Drosophila melanogaster: one gene and its partners. The gene in region 2 interacts genetically with the main gene of each other region. Each region holds a gene or a part of one and is shown on either strand. Other genes may lie near its edges. The genes, in order: Sdhaf3, Sod2, Adck1 and p38b.

Region 1 (3,072 bases), on a different chromosome or scaffold from region 2:
TTCGGAATCGGCATCAGAGGCGATCTACCATGGCGCATTAAGTAAGTTGGTAACAAGGATTGAACCGCAGCTAAAGCTTTTGTACCATCAGATCTGAGCTGAAGTACTTCAGCCGCACCACCAAGCGAACAAGTGATCCCACCAAGCAAAATGCCGTGGTAATGGGCAGGAAAACCTACTTCGGAGTGCCGGAAAGCAAGAGGCCTCTTCCCGATCGGCTGAACATAGTGCTGAGCACCACACTTCAGGAAAGTGATCTGCCCAAGGGAGTACTATTGTGCCCCAATCTCGAGACGGCCATGAAGATCCTTGAGGAGCAGAACGAAGTGGAGAACATTTGGATTGTGGGCGGTAGTGGAGTCTACGAGGAGGCCATGGCCTCGCCAAGGTGTCACCGGCTGTACATTACCAAAATAATGCAGAAGTTCGATTGCGACACCTTTTTCCCCGCGATCCCTGACAGCTTTCGAGAGGTCGCGCCCGATTCCGACATGCCACTGGGTGTGCAGGAGGAGAATGGCATTAAATTCGAGTACAAGATTTTGGAGAAACACTCATAATAAAATAATACACTGATTTATTTGCCTTGCGCATCTTCTACTCCCTTGGCCGCCAGCATCAGCTCGTATAGTTGGACTACTTGGTCGTCTTTCAACATTTCTACAGTCTTGGGGTCAATCTCTTCGCCCAGCTCTCCCTTGGGCTTGCCCCGAATCCCTAGTTGTTGGGTGATTGTGGACGCATATCGCTGCAATGGAAGATTTGCTTAGTATGGCGCCTTTTTGTTTATTACGTAAAACTTACGGCCCACTCTGTCATAAAGAGCTGTGCCTCCATGGGATTGCACTTGAGGTGTCGCCGGAACTCGTCCCGCACATAGTTATCGCCCAGAGCACGAAGTTCCGCTGGAAGTCCTACGGAGTACAGAAGTTTAGTTGAAATGCATGCAATTTATAGTAATAGGGAATTTTTCATCTTACCTCTGTGCAGTCGCAAGATCGTTTTGTACAGCAGTCGGACCCTCTGAGGGTGGGTCAGTTGGCTCATCAAAATTCTGGACATCCTGAGTTCATATCATATAACATACTAATACTATACTATTTAGCAGCCGGCTAAAAACTAAATACGAGCGAATAACAACTGTTTTGTCGCAGCCAGTGTTGGCTAACGTCAAATTGAGTTGGCAGGTGGCAACGTATTAAAAGTTTGGCGCGCATTTGAATTGTCACCTTTAAAAGTTCAATGCTATTTTCATATTATATTTAAGTTAGGCACTTCGAATTGAACCACACTTCCGCAAACCAAATAATGTAAAAAGAAAATGTTTTTTTCAAATGGTTTTTTTTTATCAATCCCCAAGCGATTTCAAGCATTTTAAAACTGCAGGTCTTTTTATATAATGATTTATTTGTGGCATGGTTTGTATATATATAATCATCACATGTGCAGTGTAGGTTCAATCTGTCGTGGATTCATCCCTTGGGGGTAAATTATAAATAAAAGAACATCTCGTATGGAAAATGAGCTCTGTTTCAGAAAACAAACCAATAAATGACATACACACACGCTCTGCACCAACTTTGGCTAACTATTGCACGCCTTTCTCTCACTACTATACGCCTAATTACACCAAGCACCAAACAGAAGGTGGCGGAGGGTACACAACATTGTTGTCATCGTCGTCGTTTTGAACAGAAGAACGTTTTAACAATCAAGTTTTCTAGTTTTGCTATTGCGGCGCGGCAGCAACAGGCGCCGCTCGATTCGCTGGCTCCTCATCCTGTCCATCAGCCGCAATCTCTTCCGGTAGCAGGGGCTGACCCTCTCCGCCCCAAGGAAATCCGCCAGGTCGATCCTCAGCAGCCGCCTGGAAGTTGCGTTCGATGTGCTCATTGAAGAGACGTTTCCTAAGGACAACAAGTCGTTATTGCAAAAGTTATATCCCAATTCAAAGTAAACTCACAAAAAGTAGGGGGTTTTGATCAGTCTGTAGCCGTTGGACAGTGTAGGATAGACGTCCTCCAGCACGTAGTAGATGTGGCCAACACCCATGCCGATGACATCCACCCACACGGTGTTTCCCAGAATCATGGAGCAGCAGAGGAGCACCCACGGAAGGTACGGCGCCTGGAAGTTAAGCACCCCGAAGAAATTCATTGGCACCAGTGGATTGCGTCGTGACCACACATAGACCAGCATTAATGTGAAGGCCTGGCCCAGGAACAACAGGTTGACGAAGATTCCGAAGAAGGTCATTAGCACGCCGCCAAAGATGAACATCATGACAAAGTCGGAGCTGCGTCCGCGGAAAGATCCGTCCTCCAACATTCGACAATATCGATATGTAAACACCATATTGAAAAAGAAACTGATGCCTATTGTGCCAAAGTACAGGAATGTGGTGGCCAAGCGCCAGATCTGGAACTTGCGCACAATCAGCGTGGGATTGAAGTAGAGCTGCAGCGGCGACACCAGGTCCAGGTGCTTAAAAGTTGGCAAAAAATATAATCGAAGATAATACACGTACACGTCATCCGCGATTTAGAACGCACTACGGGATACACTTACCACCGCCAAGGTGGTCAGCACGCAGACCGTGGTGTAGGCTCGTGTGACCACCGGGATCTCCAGGTAGAACTGCCGCAGGGCATTCATGGCGGCTCCTCCTCCAACGTTGGACTCAAAGTGTGCAGCTTGGCAAGTGGGTTGCGATTGTATCCTTTGGACTCTTCGCTTCTTCACTGTTTATTCACCTACAACCAGCGGCGGACTATCTCTTTTTGGTAGTCCTCTCACCGGATGTTGTGCACTCCAGGATTGAGACGTGTTAATGGATAGGGAACAGCGCTCGGGCGATGGAAAATAAATGGAACGCTAGCTTTTATTTTTATGACCAAGGTTAGTGATGGTACAAATACTAGTGACACTGGCGCCAGATATCGATAAGCCGTAATCGTGACACGAAACTTTAAATTAATTTTATTTATGTGGTTAACAGAAGGAAGAACTTAAGATTGTGTCGTCTATCGAAGAGTAGTTCATCCAATATTTGAATGGAAATAATATTTATAA
Region 2 (3,513 bases):
TTTACCTGGGGGCTAGTTAATCTGGCGGTTAGTTTAGATAGTGTTGCATTTGTGCTGTTAGAAGGGCGTTACATGGGCCTTGTGCTTCCCAAATGCAACTAATTTTTGTGTAGGTAACCCCCAGTTTTGTTTATTTTATATCGACTAGATTTGTTTAAGAAATTACATTCATTAGCAAATAGAAAATATATAATAATCATTGCTCATAACGAATATTTGAACACCCTCCTTAACTAAAAACACTTTCGATGGACTATGGCGGAACCAACTTCTTCGTACTCCAAGCTGTCGATCCACATGTTTTGGAAGCTCGTGAGTGAGGCCAAGACGGAACCACCCGTCCAAACGGAGAATCTGCGGTCTGGACTAGCGTTAACCTTGATTCGGATGGATGGTGGAGCCATTTCGGTTAGGTCTTGCAGGAATCTATGCTCGATGTTACGAAACATGGTCGTACCGCCAGAGAGAACAATGTTCGCATACATATCCTTTCGCAGATCCATGTCGCAGTTGGTTATCGAGTGATGGGTGGCCTCGTGGATGCCCATCACCTCCTGACCCAGCAAACTGGGTTGGAAGAGAGCCTCCGGGCAGCGGAATCTCTCGCAGCCCAAAACGATTTTCTGCCCATCTGGCAGCTCATAGGTTTCCACCTTTCCGTGGAGATCCATTTCCTTGGCATAGTTCATTGACACATAGCAGAGTTTCTCCTTGATTTCACGCACGATTTCCCGTTCAGCAGAGGTGCCCATTGTAACGCCCCTCTCCAGAAGCAGCTTGCATAGATAATCGGTGAGGTCCCTGCCGGCCAGATCAACTCGTACACAGGCGTGGGGCAGGGCAAATCCTTCGTAGATCGGTACCGTGTGCGTCACACCATCACCCGAGTCCACCACAATGCCCACAGTACGCCCGGTGGCGTAAAGTGAGAGCACAGCCTGAACTGCTACATAAAAAGCTGGCACCTGAAAGTGTTCGAACATAATCTCTGTCATCTTCTCTCTATTCTTCTTCGGATTCAGTGGGGCTTCGGTGAGTAGAGCCGGCAAATCCATTGGATCCGCCCGCAAGAGCTCGTACGTGTGCTGCCAAACCATCTCCATTTCATCCCAGTTCTTGACCATTCCGTGCTCGATGGGATACTTTAGGGTTAGTATTCCCCTTTTTCGGGCTGCCGCCTCGCCAATAACACTATCACCGATCACGGAATCCAGCAGGACGTTCAGGTGACGAGGTCTGCCCACAATCGACGGGAAGACAGCACGGGGAGTATCTTCTGGGGAGAATCCAGCCTTACATACTCCAGAGCCGTTGTCAATAACCACTGCGGCGTGGTGTGAATTACTATCTACCTCGCTGCTCATGTTTCCAGGAGAGGTTGCTGAACGAATCATGGTCAAATCATAAAATCTTTAGCTTATTTAAGCAACTTACGTAAATGTAGATATTTGTGAAGAATGTTCTGTGCCCGTTTATTTGTTATATCGATTTTGATTCGGGAAGGTATTTGAAATGTAGACATGTTGTGTGCTGTGTTCCAGTCGGATTTTTAAACTTATGACGTTAATTTCATGGTTTATTTCCAATTTAGCGCCATGACATACAGAGGCCAAAAATCGATTAATTCAAGTATCAATCGAATGGATGCAGTCGATACGTAAGCAGCTAAAATATGCTAATAGTCACTAAAGTAGTATTTAAACATAAGAAATATTTAAGAAATCCTCAATATGATTTGAATATGTTTCAGTGCAATGTTTCAATTAAAAATAGTTTTTAATTTCTTTTAGTTTTACTATTTAACTTCAATATATATAAGTTGATCTCACATCACTGACTGATTGGGGTCTTTCGATATTTTCTCATCTGCTCATCTCTAGCAGTAAATTGTTCAAATAGAACAAGCGAAATAACGAGAACGTAAGCCTTGTTTTATTTGATATAAAATCTGATATCGGGACTTAGCCTTATTAGCAGTCGAATAAAACGCAGATATGTTCGTGGCCCGTAAAATTTCGCAAACTGCAAGGTAAGTTGCGAAAAAAAGTATGCCCAAATCGATGCCGGCTGATTACATAAATAGCAACAAATGGCGACCCTGATCTTGAGGACATTATAAAACAAGACACACTTAACCCTTTGCAGCCTGGCGGTGCGTGGCAAGCACACCCTACCGAAGCTGCCCTACGACTATGCCGCCCTGGAGCCTATCATCTGCCGGGAGATCATGGAGCTGCATCACCAGAAGCACCACCAGACCTACGTCAACAATCTAAATGCCGCCGAGGAGCAGCTGGAGGAGGCCAAGTCGAAGAGCGACACCACCAAGCTGATTCAGCTGGCTCCTGCCCTGCGTTTCAATGGCGGTGGCCACATCAACCACACCATCTTCTGGCAGAACCTCTCGCCCAACAAGACCCAGCCCAGCGATGATCTGAAGAAGGCCATCGAGTCGCAGTGGAAGAGCCTCGAGGAGTTCAAAAAGGAGCTGACCACGCTGACCGTGGCGGTCCAGGGCTCCGGCTGGGGCTGGCTGGGCTTCAACAAGAAGTCGGGCAAACTGCAACTGGCCGCCCTGCCCAACCAGGATCCCCTGGAGGCCTCCACCGGCCTGATCCCGCTCTTCGGCATCGATGTCTGGGAGCACGCCTACTATCTGCAGTACAAGAACGTGCGTCCCTCCTACGTGGAGGCCATCTGGGACATCGCCAACTGGGATGACATCTCGTGCCGCTTCCAGGAGGCCAAGAAGCTCGGTTGCTAAGCACAGCCGGCGATTGCGTATGTTTAATCTATAAGCATCTGCGGATCGGAGATCCTAAATTGTAGTCTAAGTTGCGGCTAATAAATTGGTACCAGCTAGCAACTAATTTTTATAATTTTTATGAATGGGAATAAAACAATTTAAAACATAATTTCCGAAGATAACGCTTCACAAAGGCGTATTGAAACTATTACTTCATTGAGGAATTAAAAAATATACATATACCTATTCATATTTTTTATTTTTATCAATTTTATTACGCTCCAAAAAAATTAATTTTTATATTAAATTAAAATATCGCAAATACTGTAAATGTTTTACAACACTGCCGCCCATGGTGCCATCTCTAGCAAATCAGCTGTGCGCGAGCCAAACAAAAACAAAACAAAAGTCAGCCTGCCGCGAAATCGGGGGAGGAAAATTGACATTTCCACCGAGTTTTCCCGAACTTGCGTGCGCGCAGCTGCAAACAATTTTCCAGCACGCGTATCCGAATGGTGGAACAAATGGCCAGCCGCTGGCAGAGTCGTTTGTTGCCTGTTCGCGTAATGGCCATCCTCGAAAATCGCCCGGAGTTTTGAAATCGAGAGACCAGTACGAAACAAAGGAAAATCATTTAATTTCCTGAGGGCGGTGACGAATGAAAAACATACAAAATAAACCACTTGAGTGCAATAATAATTTAATAAAGAACTGTGATTGTGAGTGTGTGAGGAGAACTGTTGACGCCCATCAAGGAATTTAACTTC
Region 3 (4,759 bases), 7.8 Mb from region 2:
AAGACACTACCGGAGAAGATTTCATCCCGATACCATCGTACTCGCCGCCGTTTCGGGAAGGAGAGAAGCAGAGAAGGGCTAGGCCTGCGAAAACGCCCAATAAGAAGACTGCTCGAATGAATGACAGCTTCTTCACCACTGAAGAAAAGAAGAAGCTCGGAGACTATAACACCAACACATTTAATCCCACGGAGGAAGCAGGAGAGGCGAGTAATAAGCCGAAAACGAATAAGAGGTTTGTTATCATCGATGGTAGCAATGTCGCCTTTGCGTAAGTTCTCTGCTTAAAGCTAACTCTAGACGGACTATTTATTTCATTTTCATTTGACAGTCATGGCAACTCAAACGTGTTTTCATCAGAGGGAATAAAGTATTGCTTGCAGTATTTTGAGAAAATGGGTCACGAAGTTAAGGCTGTGGTTCCAATGTTCCGGAAAAACAACTTCAAGTCTTCGAATCCCGAGCTTCTCGATAAGCTGCACAAGGAAGGGAAGATTGTGTTTACGCCGTGCAAAAACATTCCCGGTCAAATTACGTCTAGCTACGATGATCGGTGAGCTCCTTAGAAAAAACTTCTATTTAGAAATGGAAATGCATAATTTTTTTTTTCAGTTTCATTTTGCAGCTGGCATACGAAAAGAATGCCGCCGTGGTTTCCAACGACAACTACAGAGACCTGATTAATGAAAATCCTGCATTTAAATTGATCGTTGAGAATCGAGTTCTTGGTTACTCCTGGTGCGACAACATATTCATTTTACCCAAGGATCCTTACGGCCGCTGGGGACCTACCCTCGACGAAATTTTGAGGTGCTAATGCACCTAGCCATATATTTGTTTTCAAATTATTCTTTAGTTTCGTGTTATATCTTAAGTTAGTAGTTTTCATTTAGTTTGGTTGCGAATTATTCAACTTTCTTTTCCTTTACAATTAGCGTTAAGTTGGTCAATACTGAAGAGTTAATACGCAGCGTTTACTCATTTTATTAGCATATAGCATATAGTTTTCGACCAGAAGGGTTTTCATATGCCTACTATTTTAAAAATCTTGCAAAATTACGAAGTTCATTATTTACATATAATTTTCGACCAGAAAAATTTTTTAATATGCACTATACGTTTATTTATTTATTTACTCCAATGGGGTTTATAAGTTATGCAAAATTAAAGAGTTGCCGAGGAGCAAGATTTATTTACAAAGGCAAAGCTGTACAGTGTCTTGTTTAGTGTATAAATAATAATAGATTTACTATTTCTCAGAAGTCCAATGCTTTGTTACACCACTGGTGGTTGGCCGTTGACCAAAAATACGGTGGTGGTGGTGGAAGTGGTGGTTGTGGCCACGTTCGCCTCGTAAACCGGCGGTGGTTCGTTAATTCCAACCGCCAAATTGGGATTGCTCGCTTCCAAGCTGGTGGCTATGGTCAGTGTGCTGTCCTGCTTTCGCTCGCTAAAAGCGGCCTCGTCGTAGCTGGGCGGCAAATCCAAGGTCTTGGGCAGGACACTAACTTCGTTCTGGCTGTTTGAGCACACGTTTCCGACTCCTCCGGAGCCGCCGTTGCAATTGTTCGTCACATTGATCTCCATTTGGCGACGGGCTGCGAAAAAAGAGATTTAAATCGTAGTGGACAAGGAAACCTCAGAGAATCTCTTTAAAAACGGAAGTTAGCAACTATATCTTTTAAATATACGTCTAAATCGCTGCGTTCTGTTAACCGATACCTGCTAATATTGGTATTCCTTTATATATAGCGTAACATGTTCTGTTAACCGTTAAATGTTACCCGCTTTTAAAGCAGAAAAAGCAACCAGCCTTCCACAGGGGGGTCGGGTCTCACTAATGACTTTCAACATACTGTTCGAGTCGTTCTTTATTTTAAACGACATTTATAATAACGTTTTTCATGCTGATTAAAAAGCCGTTATATTATGGTAAGAGCACTCAACCCCCTTATGCCAAAACAACTACGCCCTTGAGCTCTGCTATTGGGTCAGCTGCTCTGACGCCAGGCCAACAGCTGATTGCGCCAACTAAGGCCACCACAGAAGTGGAAGCGCATCAATTTAATCACAGACTTTGGAATTTCAACACCTACGCGCCGTTGAACTCCGGCGCTATCTGTAGTGCACCATATCGAGTAAGTGAAACTATTGGCAGTCATTCCGAGCGAGCCGCGACTCACCTTCAGTCAGTTGTGTTTACATAATGGCGCAGACGAAATTACTGAGGTGAAAGTTTAGCTACATGTGAGCGCTGGAAAATGTAAATGGGAAAAATGTAAATGAAAATGCTGGCGGAGATGCAACAGGTTAAGTGGGCTGTATTCGCCAAAAATCAGTTAGCGGAGGGCAAAGTTCAAAGTGCCTCAGTGCCTTGGTTCCGCGTAAAACTACGCGCTTAATTTAGGTGAAAGCCCAAAGGTTAATCGGCATTGACACCTGTTGTTTTTGCACACCGGACTAAACGCTCTTCATTTTGCAGCCGGAGGAATGCTGTTGCGTCGCGTTCTGGGCTACGGAGTAGTCGGCGCCGGACTGGCCTCCGCCGGCTGGAGCCTGCACACCAACGACTACGATCCCAACTCACTCGGAATCGTCCGGCTGTCGCGATCCGCCGCCGCCGTCGTGGACGTGGCACTCACCTACAAGCGGGAACTTTACTACAAGGAATGGGATAAGGAGACGCCCGAGTACAAGGCGGAAAAGAGCCGGGTCCACAAGATAGCCGCCGAGAAGCTACTTCAGCTGATCTGCATAAACAAGGGTGTCTACATCAAGGTGGGCCAGCACATAGGGGCCTTGGAGTACCTGCTACCCAAGGAGTTTGTGCAGACCATGAAGGTACTTCACTCCGATGCGCCGCAAAACCCCATTGAGGACCTGTATAAGGTAATCCGACAGGATCTGCACTGCAATCCGGAAGAAATCTTCGACAGCTTCGAGAGGGAGCCGCTGGGAACTGCTTCCCTTGCCCAGGTACATAAGGCGCGCCTCAAGACCGGCGAGCTGGTGGCCGTGAAGGTGCAACATCCCTACGTTAAGGGTAACTCCCGCGTTGACATGAAGACCATGGAACTGGCCGTTAATGTGCTGGCTCGGATATTTCCCGACTTCAAGATCCACTGGCTGGTTGAGGAGTCTAAAAAGAACTTGCCAATCGAACTCGATTTCCTAAACGAGGGACGTAACGCCGAGAAAGTAGCCAAGCAGTTCAAGAAGTACTCGTGGCTTCGGGTGCCCAAGATATACTGGAAATATAGCTCTTCTCGAGTCCTAGTCATGGAGTACCTGGAGGGTGGGCATGTCACGGACTTGGACTACATACGGCGAAACAAAATTGACTCATTTGCGGTGGCCAATCGCATTGGGCAGCTCTACTCCGAGATGATCTTCCGCACCGGTTTCGTGCACAGCGATCCGCATCCAGGAAACATCTTGGTAAGACGCACGCCGGAAAACAGTCTGGAGATAGTTCTGCTGGATCACGGGCTGTATGCAAATCTGACGGACAAGTTTCGGTACGATTATTCCAATCTCTGGCTGAGTATCCTTAAGGTGGACCGCAAAGCGATGCGACAACACAGTGAGCAGCTGGGAATTAAGGTATTTTCGCTTGGGAGGTGGATTTGAACCTAAACCTTCTAACCTTCTAAACCTTCAATCCAGGGCGATCTGTACGGTCTTTTCGCATGCATGGTGACGGGACGACCTTGGGAGACGGTGATGCAGGGCCTGACCAAAGTCAAATATTCCAAAGAAGAGGTAAGTTCGTGCCGGAAATTCTTCTCTTCAATTACTCGTAGTATATGCTTTGATTCTGCAGAAGAACACGCTGCAAAACAACACGTCCCTGGTGCTGCCGCACATTTCCGACGTATTGGAGCAGGTGGACCGTCAGATGCTGCTCATTCTGAAGACAAATGACTTGATCCGCGGAATTGAGTCCACGCTGCGCACGCAGAACCGGATGACCGCCTTCTGGGTTATGTCCAAGTGCTGTGTTCAATCTTCGTACGCTGAACAGCGAGCCAAGCAGTCTGATTCCGGATCCTCGCGAATCCTGTGGCTGCGGGTGCGCGAGCGATGGGAGCTTTTCAAGCTCAACTGCTACTACCTCTACCTGGGACTGATTAATTTTGGTTTCCTTGAAGCTCTCAAGCAGGTTATTTAGACTAAACGGTGTCCCCCAATTAAAAGTACAAAACTCTTCACGAGGAAAGGGAAATTACCTCGTTGTCTCTGCTGGGCCAGATTCCGCACATTGGTCTCTCGCTTGCGTTTGGCGCTCTTCGGGGAGAGAGTGAATCATTAGCAGGAGCAGGTAGTGTCCCATTCCGAATGGGCTTACCATAATCATGGCCAGAGGAAAGGCGATGACGAAGAGGAAGACCAGCACAATGTAAATGACATAGCTGGGATAAAATAACATGTATGGACCATCGTAGCCGCCACCGTTGATCCAAATTGTGACGGAAGTGGTGTTAACGTATTCCCAATCCGATGTCGTACTTTCAGTGGTGTTAAGTGTTCCGTTGGCCACCGTGGTGGAGTCAAAAGGGGTGCTGACCGTCGCGTTTATGGCAGGGGCCATGTTGAACTCGGGTGTTAATTCCTGATTGGAACTGAAAAATGTCTCGAAGACAGCAGTTCTCTGACGAACAGACAGAGCCGACTAACCTGAACTACTGGCCACCGAATTGATAGGACATCCGGGCATGGGTCAGACTCGGGGCTGACAGCGAAGAACGCACATATTTGC
Region 4 (4,130 bases), on a different chromosome or scaffold from region 2:
TGTCCCGCTACAAGGAGAACAAGATAGCGCTGCGCTGGCGAACGGAGCAGGAGGTGGTCACCGGAACCGGGCAGTTCCAGTGCGGCAGCCGGCATTGCGGGGAGCGGGATAATCTGCGCAGCTGGGAGGTAAACTTTAGGTATATCGAAAAGGGTGAGCCCCTAAATGCGCTGGTCAAGGTGGGTTCCAAATGGGTTTCCGCGATTGTGTCACTAATGGGAATTCCATAGGTGCGGCTGTGTCCCACCCACACGGATCAGCTGAACTACCGCACCAAGAAGAGAGAATGCAAGAAGCGGAGACGCAGGGAAAAGGAGGAACGGCGCGCTGAAAAGAAACGTAAGCGTCGAAAACTCGATGTTGGTCACGAAAGTTCTGGCGAAGAGGAGGAGGAGCCTGTCGAACCAGCATCCGAATCCCATCCAGAAGCCAGCAAGGAGCCCACAGACTCAAAGGATGCCACCACGGCAGACGAACAGATCTGGCAACAACAACCCGATATAAGCCGAGAGCAAGCCTCCAGAGAGCAGGAATTCGAGCGATATCTAGAGGATCTCATTTTTTAAAATACATAGCACATTTATTTGGATTCAACGTAGACACTAGTGCTCTTTTTTATAGTTACTGGCCGCTAGATGCGTTCGCTTACGAACTACGATGTACATGTACACTCACATTTACAGGATTATTCACAAGAACTGCGTGTTAAAACCGACACCAAATCTAAAGTTGAACTGGACATTAAGGCTGTGACTCTGATTGATTTTTGGAAACATTTCCGAATGGCTACATTTCAGGCATGCACCTAGTTCAATCGCTATTTCTATATCCATCGAATGCAAATCGAAGGTTCGAAAATACAATACTATTTCACCTTACGTTTGTGGTCAAAACAAATTGTTGAAATCCAGCCACTGAAGAGTTTCTAAATATAAATCGCTCTAGAATAAATATCCCCGATTGTTTACACTCGACGAGTAGAGAAATCACGACTGAGCGCATCCGCTTGAACTAGGTGTAGAAAAGACTGTTCTAATTGTATATAGCATCATTGAACGGAGAGGGATGGCGGCCGGGATTACTGCTCTTTGGGCAGGAGCTCAGCGAAGGCGGCTGTGGGCTTGAAGGCCGTCACCTCGCTGAAGACCATCTCCCGCCACTTCTCCACCGGCAGCTCGTTCTCCTCGAAGCTCTGGTCGTAGAGCGCGGCGGTCTGCTCATCGGTTGGATCGTGGTACTTCTCCATGTACGGATGGGCCAGCGCCTGCTCGGCGGTTATGCGCTTGTCGGCGTCAAGTTCCAGCATCTTCTCCAGCAAATCGATGGCCAGCGGATTGGCACCGCGGAAGATGTCGCGGAAATTGCGGCGCGGCATCACCGGCAGTGAACGAATATAGTTTCTAGCGCTCTCCGAGGAGATGCGGCTCATGAACTCATCAGCTGGCGTGCCCAGCACTTCCATGATGAGGTTCAGCTGATGGATGTGATCGGTTCCAGGGAACAGCGTGCGCCCAGTCAGCAGCTCAGCCATGATGCAGCCCACCGACCAGATGTCCGCCGTCTGGTTGTAGTGCATCCAGTTGAGCATGATCTCAGGCGCCCGGTACCATCGCGTTGCGACGTATCCGGTCATCTCGCTTTCTGCGGGACGGGCCAAACCGAAATCCAGGATGCGAAGCTCACAGTCCTCGTTTACCGCAATGTTCGATGGCTTTAGATCACGATGGATGACCCCAGCGCTGTGGATGTACTTCAGACCGCGCAGGATTTGGTAGACCAGAAACTGGACATGATCATCAGACAGTTTCTGCGTGCGTATTATGTTGTTCAGATCGGCGTCCATCAAGTGGGTCACCATGTACACTTGCTGGAACTGATCCAGCGAATCGGCGGGCTGTCCTGGATGAAAGACATCCAGCAGACCAATAACGTTCTCGTGATCCATGTGCTTCAGCAGCCGCAGTTCCCGATAGGTGCGCTTCGCATGGACCGCCGACTGGAAGGGCCTGGCAAGCTTCTTGATGGCCACCTTCGTGCTGGTTCCGCGGACCACGGCCTTGCAGACCTGGCCGTAGGCACCCTGACCCACGGGTTGCAGGTTCTGGTATGTTTCCGGGATTTCCCACTCGGTGCGATTGATGTCCAGCTTGTAGAATTTGGCCATTTTGCGCGACATTTCGTTGGGATGTTCTGTACGCTCAGGTGCGGTGCTATAATGTTATTAATCCGCTGGCTCTTTTTTTGGGCAGTTCTTCTTCTTGCTTGTGGGATTAGTTATCTCTGTTCCACACTTCGCGGCCTCAACATTGCTGGAAATGAGTAATCGTACCGGGTATTACGGGAAAACGTAGCTAATTTCGGGTATTCCTGCCCAGATTCATTTGTATCTGCACAAATAAGTTGCAACTTACATCTCTCGGATTTTATTTATGCTATTCCGCTGCGCCTACACCTTTTCTGATTGGACAACAACGCTGTCTTGGCTATCGATAACCGCAAATGGGTCCGATTTCCAATCAGCTGCTGCTCGTTTATGCGTTAACATGGTTGGCTTTAGGGTGTCCCCTACAAAAATCAGAGTCCATCGAGGCAGCGGATCAATTCACAAAGCTTCTGCGCAGTTTGGTTGACAGAGTACATGATCGTCACAAACAATAATAATAATTAGATTTTTATATGCAATTTTGATTAAAGTTTTTAAGATTATATTACAATTTAAATACTTTCAATATTATTTGGAGAGTTCTATGTATGTATTCTTTATTATCACACCTTTGAGAATAAGAAATATTTAAATTAAAAATGCATTAATTAAAGCAAAAAATGAACTTATATGAAACCATAAACTCGTGAATAATGTGGTAATATCATCCACTTCAGTAAATACTTAGTTATACGTTAAAAATATAATTTTAAGGTAGAGTACTCCCTCGTCGACCATGGACATAAAGCTAATTTTAAAGCTTAACATGGGCCGGTAACAGAAGGCGGTCAGTTGGCGCAAGCTGGTTTAGTTTCAATCGGTCGCTCGTTGGCAGAACATCGAAGGTCCGGGTCGTGACGCTTTTCGCCCGAACGTTTTTTGCACGAGTTTTTTCCATACGTATTTGTTCATTGACAAAAACTCAAGCTGCGCTCTGTGCGTGCGTGTGTATGTGTGTGTGCGAGTGAGTGTGTGTGTGCTGGCGCGTCTGTGTGAGTGCGGTGCTTTGTGTGCAGAATAATTTTTGCAAACATTATGTAAATGCGCAAATTAAAGTTCAATCGACGCCCGTTTTGAGTACGAAACCAGATCGCCTTGCTTTAAGTGCCACGGAGCTACAGTTTCTTTTCGTACCCAATTTTTCAAAGATATACTCCCTCAGTAGGCAGGCACGCACACAAACATACACAGGATCTCAAACGATCCCCCGGATATACCTTTACCGTTAGGAAAATTCAAAATGGCCACGACAGCGGCCGCAATGGCCGCAACGAGTGTAGTTGTTCTGGATCGCGGAAACAATACAACCTGCACCATCAACTTGCACGGTGAGCAGAATGTCTTGAAACAATGATAAACAACAAATGAATAGCTGGCGAACAATTAATCATAATTAAGAAGACACCACCAGCACTTTGCCAAAATTTTGTTGGCGTTATTTTTAGCGGATGATTGGCGCTTAGACTCTTCCGAAACCGAAACCCGTTTCGCCCCCTATTCTCGATGTATTCGCGACCTCTGGAGGTTATCAATTCGTTCTGGAAATAACCTTGTTTTTACCTTTCGCTGTTCTACGCACCAGCCAGAGGGCCTTTGCTATCTTATCAGCCGAGATCGTCGCAATTTAGGCGCTATATGTACATATATGCCCCCACTCGATCCAATCGCTGGGGATCAGTTGGGTTTCGGTTTTGGAAAAGCTTAGAGCTTGGAGTTTGGATCTTGGAGATCGGATCGATGCGGCTCCTACTCGCAGCACATTTCGATTAGGCGTCATATATATGTATATGGTTCGTACATATATGTATACAGGTCCCTCTCTATGAGCACCTATGTACATATGTATGTATGTGAGCTGGCACTGGTGTACCCAGCGTACTTTCAACAATTACGACTGCCTGTGTCTGGGCTGCCCACGTTGCTTTCC

The links.
Region 1: of Sod2 (region 2) and Sdhaf3, changing one suppresses a phenotype caused by changing the other (phenotypic suppression), as found in Drosophila melanogaster (one study listed by BioGRID).
Region 3: of Sod2 (region 2) and Adck1, changing one suppresses a phenotype caused by changing the other (phenotypic suppression), as found in Drosophila melanogaster (one study listed by BioGRID).
Region 4: of Sod2 (region 2) and p38b, changing one suppresses a phenotype caused by changing the other (phenotypic suppression), as found in Drosophila melanogaster (one study listed by BioGRID).

What each region holds. Positions count from the first base shown.
Region 1 is NT_033777.3:16,481,300-16,484,371, forward strand, and holds Sdhaf3 (succinate dehydrogenase assembly factor 3), read right to left. Parts: upstream 1,154-3,072; 5' UTR 1,063-1,153; coding exon 981-1,062; intron 915-980; coding exon 805-914; intron 749-804; coding exon 578-748; 3' UTR 562-577; downstream 1-561. Other genes in the region: Dhfr (dihydrofolate reductase), read left to right, coding at 1-41, 92-560; Der-2 (Derlin-2), read right to left, coding at 1,730-1,907, 1,964-2,484, 2,569-2,655. UniProt on the Drosophila melanogaster protein: Plays an essential role in the assembly of succinate dehydrogenase (SDH), an enzyme complex (also referred to as respiratory complex II) that is a component of both the tricarboxylic acid (TCA) cycle and the mitochondrial electron transport chain, and which couples the oxidation of succinate to fumarate with the reduction of ubiquinone (coenzyme Q) to ubiquinol.
Region 2 is NT_033778.4:16,772,271-16,775,783, reverse strand, and holds Sod2 (superoxide dismutase 2 (Mn)), read left to right. Parts: upstream 1-1,868; 5' UTR 1,869-1,994; coding exon 1,995-2,029; intron 2,030-2,145; coding exon 2,146-2,764; 3' UTR 2,765-2,999; downstream 3,000-3,513. Other genes in the region: Arp53D (Actin-related protein 53D), read right to left, coding at 234-1,381, 1,435-1,522. UniProt on the Drosophila melanogaster protein: Destroys superoxide anion radicals which are normally produced within the cells and which are toxic to biological systems.
Region 3 is NT_033778.4:24,609,685-24,614,443, forward strand, and holds Adck1 (aarF domain containing kinase 1), read left to right. Parts: upstream 1-2,018; 5' UTR 2,019-2,138; exon of another isoform or gene 2,139-2,160; intron 2,161-2,197; exon of another isoform or gene 2,198-2,482; 5' UTR 2,483-2,490; coding exon 2,491-3,603; intron 3,604-3,666; coding exon 3,667-3,762; intron 3,763-3,823; coding exon 3,824-4,171; 3' UTR 4,172-4,222; downstream 4,223-4,759. Other genes in the region: CG42360 (uncharacterized protein), read left to right, coding at 1-271, 332-553, 613-817; CG4741 (uncharacterized protein), read right to left, coding at 1,276-1,598, 4,230-4,287, 4,349-4,591. UniProt on the Drosophila melanogaster protein: Essential for maintaining mitochondrial cristae formation and mitochondrial function by acting via YME1L to regulate the mitochondrial structural proteins Opa1 and Mitofilin. This function is likely to be kinase-independent.
Region 4 is NT_033779.5:13,779,046-13,783,175, reverse strand, and holds p38b (p38b MAP kinase), read right to left. Parts: upstream 2,488-4,130; 5' UTR 2,412-2,487; intron 2,310-2,411; 5' UTR 2,177-2,309; coding exon 1,079-2,176; 3' UTR 567-1,078; downstream 1-566. Other genes in the region: CG16890 (uncharacterized protein), read left to right, coding at 1-179, 231-566; CG9008 (uncharacterized protein), read left to right, coding at 3,444-3,531.